3 linked regions of the Coturnix japonica genome follow. The protein of the gene in region 2 interacts with the protein of the main gene of each other region in a pairwise test. Links are inferred from orthologs where the notes say so. Each region holds a gene or a part of one and is shown on either strand. Other genes may lie near its edges.

Evidence for each region.
Region 1: the proteins of ZBED1 (region 2) and LRRC20 interact in binary tests that used the Homo sapiens proteins (3 or more experiments, as listed by UniProt). The two-hybrid records come from large-scale screens. The link is inferred for Coturnix japonica from reciprocal best matches to the Homo sapiens genes ZBED1 and LRRC20.
Region 3: the proteins of ZBED1 (region 2) and EFHC1 interact in binary tests that used the Homo sapiens proteins (3 or more experiments, as listed by UniProt). The two-hybrid records come from large-scale screens. The link is inferred for Coturnix japonica from reciprocal best matches to the Homo sapiens genes ZBED1 and EFHC1.

What each region holds. Positions count from the first base shown.
Region 1 is NC_029521.1:9,514,973-9,519,064, reverse strand, and holds LRRC20 (leucine-rich repeat-containing protein 20), read right to left. Parts: upstream 2,850-4,092; 5' UTR 2,621-2,849; coding exon 2,539-2,620; intron 2,391-2,538; coding exon 2,241-2,390; intron 1,850-2,240; coding exon 1,682-1,849; intron 290-1,681; coding exon 138-289; 3' UTR 21-137; downstream 1-20. Other genes in the region: EIF4EBP2 (eukaryotic translation initiation factor 4E-binding protein 2), read left to right, coding at 2,963-3,101, 3,314-3,487, 3,559-3,590.
Region 2 is NC_029516.1:115,860,011-115,864,249, reverse strand, and holds the start of ZBED1 (zinc finger BED domain-containing protein 1), read right to left. Parts: upstream 2,910-4,239; 5' UTR 2,442-2,909; intron 2,392-2,441; exon of another isoform or gene 2,310-2,391; intron 1-2,309.
Region 3 is NC_029518.1:98,059,046-98,062,687, forward strand, and holds the end of EFHC1 (EF-hand domain-containing protein 1), read right to left. Parts: coding exon 3,514-3,642; intron 2,701-3,513; coding exon 2,484-2,700; intron 982-2,483; coding exon 910-981; 3' UTR 356-909; downstream 1-355. UniProt on the Homo sapiens protein: Microtubule inner protein (MIP) part of the dynein-decorated doublet microtubules (DMTs) in cilia axoneme, which is required for motile cilia beating.

The sequences.
Region 1 (4,092 bases), on a different chromosome or scaffold from region 2:
TAATCCATCAATGCAGGGAACACAGTGCACATAACACATTTAATCAGGTATTGGGGCACATCGTGCCAGCAGCTGGAAGCCATGGGGAGCTCCAGGGCCAGTGTGCGCTCCTGCAGGTGCCGGGCAGCAGGGACAGGTCAGGCTGTGGGGACATTGCCCTCAGGTGACAGCAGCAGCTCGAAGGGGACCAGGGGCCGGACGAGCAGGCGTACAGCAGGGCACACAGGGTTGGCACGTAGGTTGAGGCTCCGCAGCGAGGACATGGAGGCCAGAGCCTCTGTTGGCACCTCTGCAAGGGGGAGCAAAGGGAACAGGATTTGGGGAGGGATGGTTTTATTTTAAACAAGCAAACAAACAAAACAAAAATAGAACAGGTTAAATGCAGCTGCAAAGCTCAGTGCTGCTCATGGCAGCTTGCATAGGCAGCAAGGAACAGCAGCAGCGCCCATGCTTACAGCCGCCTGCACCCTGCTGCCAGCTTCTCCCCCTCCTTGTCCTGCTTTCCCAAGCAGAACGGGTGGAAAAGAGAAAACAGGCATTAAAACACAGCAAGAAAGAAAGCAAGAAGCCACTTTCATAATTTAACCAGCAGTGATTTTCCTCTGTTTAGAATGTAATAATAATGGTTAAAAAAAATCCAGCTAGCTGGGATGGAAGGCTGCTGGGGAAGCAGCAGGCATCGGAGGAAACCAATGGTGTTCCAACCAGGGAGTGTGCAGCTGTGTGGTGCCATCAGCCTTAAGCATGAAAGATAATGCTGTGATATCACTGCAAGGAGCAGGGAAAGGGTTAAGAGCCCTGACGTTAATATATGCATCACTACTCTGCAGGTTAAGAGCTCCTTGAGATGAAAGGGATGGCTGGCAGCACTGAAGGGCTTCTTCCGGAGCCCAGGGCTGCAGGCAGGCACTAATCGATGTGCTCATCCTCCCATTTCCCTAGAGAACATCACCCGCTGTGGCTCAGCATCCCCCAGAAGACTGAGATCCCTGAAGCAGATATCTTGAACCTGGCTTGGCCCTGAGAGCAGCTTTGTCTCCAGTGCAGCAGAAGGGAACGGGCAGAACCAGGAACCACGTGTGGTTGGGATGGCAGCATCAAAACCTGGTGCTGCAAATCAACCCCCATCCACCTTCTGTAGACTGCCATGCTTTTATCCAGAGCAGGGTCCTCAGTTTGTTATGGAACTGAGTGGCGAAACCTGGGTCCTGAGTCATAAAAGGCAGACAAACCAGCCCACCTTCATCCCCACACCACTCAGACATGGTATGCTGGCTGGAAGTGAGCAGGCTGCTAGATAACAGCATGAGGGTGAGCTTTCAGATGCTTCTGCATCATCTCCAAAGACACAGAGATGATGCTGGTCTTCTACCAGCCACAGCGGCAAGCAAAGGGTTCAAAGCCTGCATGGCCATCAATGTGTGCTGGCTAAGCTCATGCTAATGGGTTCTCCTCAACTCTCCTTTGCTGCTGTGCACAGGGAAGAAGAGGTAAATGTAAATAAAAGCTCATAAATCATACAGAAAGCTCAGCCTTTGAGGCTCTAGAGTAACCCAGTGGACTCCATTGTGGTCCCAGACCATACAGCCATGAGCCATGAAGTGGAGGAGCCTGGAGGGGTGGTGAGAAGGGATACGGTCACAAGCACCAGTTTTCCTCCCCAGCCCCCTCCCCCCCTCACCTGCAATCTCATTCCCTTCCAGGTTGATGCTCTCCAGTGCAGGGGCAGCCGCCAGGGGCTCAGGGAAGTGCCGGAACTTGTTGTGGGCCAGGTTGATGGTGCGCAGGTGCAGCAGAGAGCCCAGCTCCTGGGGCAGGCGGTGCAGGAGGTTGCCCTCCAGGTTGAGTTCTGGAAGAGGAACAAAGCTGACCCTCCATTCTGTGCAGCAAAGCTCCCAGTGGAGGACTCCTCCAGGGAGCCAGGGCTGCTGCGAGGATCTGTATGTGACATGGATGTGCTCTAGGCTGGTGTTGTGCTGACTAGCTGTCTCCTCTCTAGACAAAAGATGCTGAGCTATTGGAGAGTGTCACTAAATCACAGAATGGTTTGGCTTGGAAGGGACCTTAAAGATCATTGCGCTCCAGCTCCCATGTCGTGAGCCGGCAGCCCCCCACCAACTGTGATCCAGAGCCGTGGGATGTGGCATTGAAGCACACGGGCGGTAGGATGGTGGGAATGGGCCGGGTGAGCAGAGGGCTTTTCCAACCTCAGTGTTCCTGTGACATCAGGCCGGCCTTACCTCGCAGCTGGCTGAAGGTGGTGGCGAAGCGTGCGCCGAGAGCCTTCAGCTCGTTGTTAGCCAGCGAGATGCGGTGGATGCCCTGCGTGACGCTGCGCACCGCCTTGTAGATGCCGGCGGGGAAAGACACGAGCTTGCAGTCGGCCAGGTCTGCGGGGACAGCCGGCTGAGCGGCGGGGGCAGCTGCACGGCCCCAGGCTGCCAAACACGCGGCCCTCCTGCACGGACGGGCCCCGCCGCACCCCGACGTGGTGCGGGGACGGAGCAGCTCGGCACCCCGCCGGGGCCGCGTCCTTACCCAGCGTGTCGCTTTGGCTCTCCACCGTCTCGTTCACCCTCCTGGCCACGCGGGCCACCGCCTCGCCCATCCTTCTCTGCATGGGGGCGGCCGGGGGGGGACGCTGCGGGCGCGGCGGAGGCGGCGTTCCCCGCTGCTAAAAATAAAGCGCTGGGACATGTGCTCCAACGGGGCGGCCGGGGGTGGGGGCTGGGGGCGCGCTCTGCGGGCTCGGCGGGAGCGGGGCTTCGCGTAGGGCGGCCGGGTGGGCTCGGGCTCTCCGGACACCTCCCGTCCGAGATCGAACCGCGCGGACCGAGCCACGCGGCGGGAGCCGAACCCGGTTCCCCGTTCCGGAGCCGGGCGCCCTCCTCCCCTGCGGACCACGTGTGGCGGCGGGCGGGGATGTGGCGGCCCCGCCCCGCGGGGACAATAGCGCGGGGCCATGGCGTCGGCGGGCGGCCGCCAGCACAGCCAGAGCCGCGCCATCCCCGCCCGCCCCGCGCCGCACGGCGACGCCGCTTCGCTGCCGCCCGGCTGCTGCAGCACGCCCGGCGGCACGCTGTTCTCCACCACGCCGGGAGGTAAGAGCGTGTGAAGCCCTACGCCCCGAGCTGCGGCGCTCCCCGCGGCTGGGCCCCGCAGGAAGGCCAGGCCGTGCCGCACGGAGCGGGTGAGGCTGCGGGCGGGGGGTCGGGGTCTGCGGGTGTCCGTAAGGGCGGCACCCCGCGGGATAAGAAGAGCGCCCGGGTGACACGGACGCGTCCCCCCGCCCCGGCCCTCCCTCCCTCCGCAGGCACCCGCATCATCTACGACCGCAAGTTCCTGCTGGAGCGCCGTAACTCGCCCATGGCGCAGACCCCGCCGTGCCAACTGCCCGACATCCCCGGTGTTACCAGCCCCGGGGCCGGCGACGAGCCCAAGGTGGAGCCCAGCAGCCCCAGCAATCAAGACGGCAAGCCAGCGGCCGGTAAGCGGGCGGCCCCTCCCGGGTCCCCGAGCCGTGCGATGCACACGTGCTCCTCTCGGTGTCTCTTGCAGGGGACGACGCGCAGTTCGAGATGGACATCTGACCGGGCACCCGCCGCTCTCCTTCGCCATTGCCCCGTTTATTGGTCCGTCGTTTCGTCTTGTTTGTTTTTTTTTCCCCCTCCCGTTTCGTTTGTGTCTTTCACCGCATCACCCCGCTCCATCCCCTTCCCTTAACTGGTCTTAAGGAGCAGCGCCTGGAAATGGAGGTGCTGCCCACAGGGCTCCCGTCCCGGGCCTTCCCTGGGAAGTTTCAGCAGCCACAGCACTGGGAAGGCACCGGCACCTCCGTGCACTGCAAACTCTTGGGTCCAGGTTCGACCCCTCTGGCACCTGAGCTCCCAATTTCTATGGGGCCACACGTGGCACCGAGCCCTCAGTTTTCCACTTTTTGGTACTAAAAAGAGGGACAACCACAATGTGGGGAGAAAAAAGGGTCGAGCGGCAGCGTCTCTTCCCTCAAACCCCAATCTGTGCCATGGGGTTTGGGGTGGGCTTCATCGCCGGGTGCTTTGGGAGACACTGTGAGCGAGCGAGTGTGAGTGG
Region 2 (4,239 bases):
CTGAACAGGGACTGAATGAAGCGTGACTTACCAGTAAATAAGTGGCATGCTCCAGTCAGGTGGATGCTGGCTGCTGGGACCACACTGCAGCACGCTGCCTCACTGTAAGGATTTACATGTAACATTCGCCGCGCTTCTGAGAATGAAGCAGTGGTAACTCAGTCACAGCATTTTTCACGCAAAGAGGCAAAGCTTTTAAACATCCTTCATGCAGCGTCTGCACGGCCTTTTACGCTGCTTAGGGAACAGTAACACTCGCTCAGCCCGCTGCATTGCTGATCTTTGCAACGTAATGATTTCTCACGGCCCAGGTAGGACAGTGATAACAAGCTGTCCTTGCCTTGAAGAGGAGGTACCACTCACAGCAACTTTTGAGCAAGGAAATAAGTACCAAAATAGCATTTTTAGGTGCCCCGTTGTAGCTGACCCACCTTTGATTACTGCTTTAACAGTTCTGTCAACTTCAGCTGCTTCCTGCAGCTTCAACCACACGTGCAAATCCATCAGTGCTTTTCTGGCTCCACTGAAACCAACTTCAGTCTTCTACAACCGAGCCCAACAAGACCTGGATCTCACCCCATTACGCCAAGTGTCACAGCACTGGGAAGGGGGGTTTTGCATTTACAGGGTTATGTTATGTTATGTTAATACATAACAGTGCACGTACACAACACCCACCCGCAGCTGGTGAATCTGTGACTTCAACTACAAAACAAATGCACCACCGCTCACTATTGCTTTGCTCATTTTTCTGTTGTGCTAAGCTGGAAAAAAAAATACCCTTCAGTGTTTACATAAAACAATGTACACATGTTTATATATCAGCACATATATGTTTGCCTTACTTAGAACAAAAGCTGTTAAAGGAATTATTTTCTACATCGCATCTCCTAGAGACTATGCTTAAAATAATAATGAGCCAGCTGGAAACACCAAGGGTTGGATAATAACCGAGGGACCATTTCACATCTCTGCAGACATTGAGCTGTTTAGTGTTAGTTACGACATGGACTATAAAATCGGTTTGGTTGTATCAGCACCAACAACATTTCATCACACACACATATATCTATCGAGATTCAAAGTTTCTTGAACACCGCTTTCACTTGCCACGTCCCACCCAGTTCTGTAGGCAGCATCTCCAAAGCTGCTTTCCAATAATTGACAGTGATGGGTGAAGCCCCTTGTCATGATGCTGCTGTGCTCCCCTGGCCAGGGACGTGCTCACAGAGCGCTCTGCTGCTGGGGATGGCAGCATGTGACACCACCTGGCGTGTCGGGGTGTGAAGAGCTTTTTGCAACTCAGGTGCAAACAAGTTTACTCATTGGCGAGGCTGCAAAAACAGCAAAATAGAGGACGGCTGGGCTGCTCTATTTTCACATAGTCTAATGCATACAGAAAAGGGAAGCGATGCCCATTCTGCTGCCCGCTCCCTTCCCTCCATCACCTGCTGCTCTGGCATTTTGGGGCACACAGGGAGCTGCACACAACGGCACTGCTGCTGGAGGTGCAGGGTGAGGGAATGACGCTGTCACCGCTGCCACAGTCACACGGCAGCAATGCCGGGTCCCAGACGGACTGAGCAGAAGCCCAGCGGGATGGCAGCCCCGCTTCCCAGCAGCTCCCAGCCCGGCACAGCCCCCGTTGCGGAGCGGAGCGCTCAGCTACAGCCGCTCAATGTCAAACCATCTCAAAGCGCGCTGTCGCACCTCACACTTCCCTAGGTCTCCCCTTCGAAACCAACCGCGATTTGCTCCCGTTCCTGCTGCGCACACACATCAATGGAACCGGAACGCATCCCCGCAGGGTTGTGCGTGCGGACGGAGTTCTCTGCGCTCCCGACAGCCGCTTTCCAAGGGCGGGAGCATCGGCACCGAGCGCTCAGGACCATCCTGCCATCAGCAGGTTCGCTTTAAGCGCAAAGCGGTCATGTCTCTCTGCCTCAGCACACCGCGGCAAACGCAGCCTGACGGTAACAGCGGGAAAACAGCGAGCCGCAAACGCCTTCAGGTGGGCGCACAGCCGGGCGGCGGCGGCTCCGGGCCGTCCCAGCTCAGCGGCACGTAGGCGCTCACCCACCCAGCCCCGCTCCCGCAGTCCCCGGGCACCGCACGGCCAGCACAGCGCCGGGCTCCCCGCACAGCCCGGCGGAGCTCCCCGCACACGTGCCGCGGGGAAGGCAGGTGGAACTCGTCCTCTCCGCCCGCCTCCCCCAGGCGGCCGCCGCTCACCGACATCCCCTTCCTTCCCCTCCGTCCCCGCGTTGCCCCGCACCGTCCCCGCGCCGCCTTCCCCGCCCCGCGCTCACCTTTGCATACCAATGCGGGGCCGCACCGCCCGCCCCGCTCCGCTCGACACGTCCGGCACCGCAACGCGACCCCGCGCCGCCGGGACGGGTCCCGATCCGCTGTGATCGCGCTGCCGGGCGGCGGGCACTCACCGGGTCACCCTGGTCTCTGAAGGTCAGGCGCGGGGCGGTGCGGCGGTGCAGCCGCTCTCGGCGGTCGCCTCCTCTCCCTTCTCCTCTCCCTCCCGGCCCCGCGGGGGTGATTCCGGCCGCTCCTCTAAGCGCTGGCCCCGCGCCGCCGCTCAGATCCCGTGGTCGCAATCCACATCGCGGCAGATGTACCAGAGGATCACGTAGAGGATCAGCAGGATGGCGAAGATGAACAGAGCCACCAGGATAGCCTTGGTCACCGGAGAGATGAGGGACTGCATGTCACCCGCGGGCCGCCGCCGCCGCCGCCGAAGACGAGGACGAGGAGGAGGAGGAAGAGCGGGAGCGGGAGGAGGAGAGAGCGCTCGGGCGCTGCGCGGGGGCAGCGAGCGCGGACGGATCCCGCGGCCCCGCCGCCGCCGGCGACCCGGGCAGGGGCGAGCGGGGGGCCGCCTCCCTCAGCGCCCCCGCGCCGGCGCTCGGGCGGCTCCGCGGCGGGCGGGACGGGGCGGCGCGCGGCCGGCCATGGGCCCGCGGCCCCGCCGCGGCTTCAGGCCCGCCCCGGGGCGGCGGCGGCGACGGGGGCGAAGTTAGGGCCCCATGAGGGACGGGCGCGGGGCGGCGGGCAGCCCTCAGGGCCCCCGCCCAGAGCCATCGGCGGGGGCGAAAGTTGCGGGCGGGACGCGGCGGGGGCTCCGCCGCCTGCCCCGGCCCGGGGGGAGCCGAGCGGGGCCGGGAGCTGCGGGCACGGCTGAGCTGCGGCGCGGGCGGCGGGCGGCGAGTGGGACGCGGCGGGCGCGGAGGTTTCCCCTCCCCTCGCCGCAGCCGCCCCCTCCTCCGCCTCCTCCCCGCCCGCCGCCCCCGCCGCTCGCTGCGGTTGTCCTTGCGGGAGGTGCGAAGAGCGGGACCGCCCCGCCGCCCCACGGTCCCCGAGGGGGAAGGACATCCCCCAAATCTCCGATGAACCCGCACTGCTCGCTTCTATAGGTGCGGGTCGGGGTAGGTCACGCAGCACCGCCGTGAACCTCGGCGCCGCTCCGCGGCCTCCAGTGCCCGCCACACAAATGGTGCAGGCAGGTGGCGGGGAGACGGAGCATCGTCACCCTCAGACCGCTCCTCACAGAGGCCTCGGTGCCTCCCAGCCCGGTCCCTGCAGTGCCGCGGGTGCCTCTGCCACCCGGCTGTGGCGTAGGGTCTCCCCACAGGGTCGCCGTTCAGAAAGGGGCCGGGTACGGCCCAGTTGTGGGTGAGGTTGTGTTGCTACAGAGATTGTTTTGAGGAACATCATGGAACTGTTTAGGATAGGGCTGAAAGAGACCCGAAAGTGTTGTCTTTTTGAGAAAAGCAAGATCAGCTTTGCCAAGATGGAGAAGGAAAAACCAAAATTTCCACTCGTAGAGACAGGGTAAGCGAAGGACAGTGAAGTTTGAGAGGAAGGAGTTATGGCAGCACTGTGTAGGTCTTGAAGATGTGAAGCTACCAGAGGAAAAAACTGAACACAGCAATTTCAGCGGGGGCACTTCTAAGGAAACACAAAACACATTCAATAAGGAGATGCCACAGACAGTAAGATGTCCAAACGATGCGGGATGATGTCCCAAGAGCAAATACTGCAGAGCCTATTACTCAGCTCCCCAGCAGCACTCAGCTCCAGAGCCTCGGCCCCAGCTTTCCATGGTTCCTCATCTCCAGTGTGCGTATGGCCACATTTCCTTCCCTTCCCTTTTGGTTTTTTCTCCTTAAACTGCAAGTTTTTTGCTGAGCATTTTCAGTCTGTTGCAATAACTCGATCGCGGCTGGA
Region 3 (3,642 bases), on a different chromosome or scaffold from region 2:
AGCTGGGATGAGAAGGTTCCTGCCTTGTTTCTCTTCATGGAGAGATGAGAAATCAGAGCAGAAATGTCACAGCCCTATTGCTATGCCAACGGTTAGTTTTTCCTTTTCATTAGACCTATCCTGTAAGATGACAGGTTGCATGAGATGGGTTTAGATGCAATCTCAGTTCTAAAACCTTTCTCCCAACCCTTTGTTAAAATAATGCAAAGCTGCTGTCAGCACAGCTGTGTGCAGACCCTACAATTTCCATGAGATATGTGAGAGCTAAGCTACTATTCAAGTAAAGCCAGAGTCAGAGTTGGCTTTGTGGTGGTGGTGGTGGTGTGTTTTTTTTCCTTACTTTAACCCTTAGCAATTCCTGGCATTGAGGTACATTTATTTAAAGCATACTTTTTAACACTTTTATAGAAGCCATGCATCAGTTGCTTATAGTCAGACTAGCTAGCATGCATTTATTGTGGTTTCTGACAGAACTCTTAGGTTTTCTTGCAATGCAAATGAAAATTTAAACTGGCAGTCTTCTCACTGCAGGCCCCTTTCAACTCTGTATGAAATTGAGATGCTTATCACTCCAGGCTTTAGCTCTAGCAAGCCTTGCCGTACTGCACTAAAAAGTTGAGAGATCAATAGAAGAACCTGGCTGTGGTTCTCCAAACCATTTTTTGCTTTCCTTGTGGGTTTCATTTCAGTATTCAGCAGTTATGAGATTGATTTTGGTGGCAGCAAAAACAGCAGGGGCAGGTTGGGAAGGTAAAAAGTTATCCAAGCAAGGGTGCAATTAGGAAGGAAGAGAGAGAGGAAAAGACTCAAAGGTAAAAACCAGAGCATCCTTTTTAAAGTGTGAGGTCTTACAGTCAGCTCAGCTAAGGAAATCATTGCTGGTCTTGTGCTTCAGCTTCTAGGCGAGGATCACAAGGGCAAGGCTCTAAGGAAGTCACGGTAGTTTATCTGGTCACCTCCATAGGTGCACAGGTCAATCAGCTGGGGGGAAAAAAGAAGCAACGTCAGAAAGAGTTGAAGGAACCTGCAAACATGTTTTTATAGGGAAACGTGCCCACAGGTATTCTCTACGTGACAGAGCAGAGGAGCAGACTGGCTCCATAGTACTGAATCACAGGTAACTTTGAATGCCTATAGATGACACCAACCTATGCAAGGACAAGAGTTAAAGTGTTAGGGTTAGGGTCTGCCCTCTAAGTGTCACCACAGTGACAACAGAGCCACAAAAAACTGGTGGCCAAAGACTGGCAAAGGCCACAGCACATCTTTCAGAAACCTCACACAAGTCCCTGACCAAAGCAGGATGGAGGCCCCGCATCTCAACAGGCACTGTTTGGTGGCGTCTCTTCGGTATGTGCAAATGGCATCAAGTGGAGACACAGATAATTGAGCTCAGTGACAGCCCTGCTAATGAACCAGTTCTGGTATCCATGCCTCACCCTGCATTGCGTTACAGAGCTATAGCCTTCGTATGCTTAAGGGGAAGAAAGAAGGCTTTTGTTTCCTTAATTGCATAACTAATCTCCTTCTGACACCCAGGGAGATGGAAAAGGTCTAATATCAGAGCTCCTTGAAAGGATTCTTCTTCCCCTTGTCGCCTGGAGACAGATTTACTTGGTTTGCTCGTGAGTGACTGACAGCTGTGCTCCTCTCCAGGCCACACAGTAGTTAACCATCTGCTGTATGTTTCATTTACAGTGCTGTCATGCTCGTATGGGCTCTGAGCACGTTCTTATTAAGATTTCAAGAGAGATGCGTTTAGTGCTAAGGTCATAGATGGAGGCTCTGCTTCAATTGGGTTAACCTGATGGCCATAGAGGGCCTGAAATATGGCAGCAGAGGAAGCTATGTTGCCTTGTGAGCTACAGACTTGCTGAACACAAATGCTATAACCTGCAGAAAGGTGGATCGTAGGCTGACTTCCCACAGCATGATCAGACTGCCAGATAAACGTGGAACGAGTTTGTAATGGTTATGATTACTTTTTTCTTTGTAAAACACTTAGTTCTCAACTCTTCAATTCAGCTGCTGTTAAATTCACAGTGTGTCTAGGCTTTCATAAGGACGATCCTCTAAGCATCTCAGTGTCATCTCTACTCATGCCCAGGTGTGCCTAAGACACAACAGACACTCAGTAGCTCCACAGGAGCCTATGCCTCATCTCCATGATTTACAACCCCCTCTTCTGCTCATCTCTAAGTCCTGACCAAGCAGCCACTTAGAATTTTATAATATGCTGGGGTCAACACGCATTACATAAAGGACAGGAATTGTTACTTCCTCCTTTAAGAGAAAGGTTCGGTCCAACAGCACAGAAGCCTTTCTGAACTGGGATTCTTTCACCCTTTTCGTGGAGCTGTTCCCCTTTGTAGGACAGAATAGCTGTTGATTGAGCTTGGTTTGGGTTAGTTTGTAAAAGAGATCTTTCAGAACACCTATGGGGGGAGTGAATTTTAATATGCACAGCACCCCTTCCTTCTGACCTTGTTAACCAGAGCGGCACTGGTTGGCACCTTGAGGCTGTCACAAATGGATAAAAATTTGGCTTTGTTGAGGAAACCAGACTGATCCTTATCACAACGAAGTAATGCCTCCCGAATGCTGCTGAAGTTCAAGTAGTTATGGAGCTTCAGCTCGTCCTGAACCCGTTCAATTAGTTCATCCAGTTCCTGTATGCTGGTTCCTGGAGCAGGAACATTACTGTAGAAGGGAAGAGAAAATAGAATTTAATGTAGAAGTTACTTCTTACAGTCCTACTGTGATGCTTGTGTGGCTGTCTGGGCTGTATTTCTGAATACACAGCAGGCTTCTGGGGTGTTTGTTTTTTATGGCAAGCTCATCTCAGATTGAACTTGCAGGTGGAGCTAAGTCCTGATATTGGACATTAGGGAAATTGCTTTCTGTCTGCATGACATTTGCCTTGTGCACCAAATACTTTGGGCCAATGAGGGTTTGCTTGTGTGTTTCATATGGTCCCAGGAACTGCATGCAGCTCAAGTTTCAACCAGAGCCTCTGAATTTCCACAAGCTGACTCTAAAGGGCATCCTGTGGTTACAGGGCTGTTACTGGGTGGCCTAAAACGGGTCCAGACAGACAGCTAAAACGGGGGATGATGTCCAGGCTCTGGCAGGCTGAGAGCCAGAGCAAATGTGAAAACAAACCCACCATCCTTTCTCTGAGTCTGCAACCAAATGAAGACTCATGAAGATACTGTTAGCAGCACCTATCACAGTTTACTGCTCCCTTTTGGGAAAAGATGACTGCATTCATTCACCTCTAGTTGTCTCTGCCACTGAGCCAGAGCTGGCCCACAAGGTTTTGGGGTCAGCGATACCCATGACATCGTACACTCTTGATCCCCTGCTATACCTGTTCAGACACATCTTTGGAGCTGAATAATCAGCTGAGCAGCCACTAGACAGCAAACTGGAGCCCATGAGAGCTGCTGGAAATGCCCTTAGTTGTCAGCCCTGAGTCTCACTTAGCTCCATATGCCATCCTTGGAAGCCTACCTTTTGGCAGTCTCCTCCACCACCTGCCGTGAGCGAAAATGATCCCTCATGGACTGTAGTGTTGATGCAGGAAAACTCTCTGCGTTACTTTCCATATAATTGAGCACATGTTCATCAGCATCAGTGATA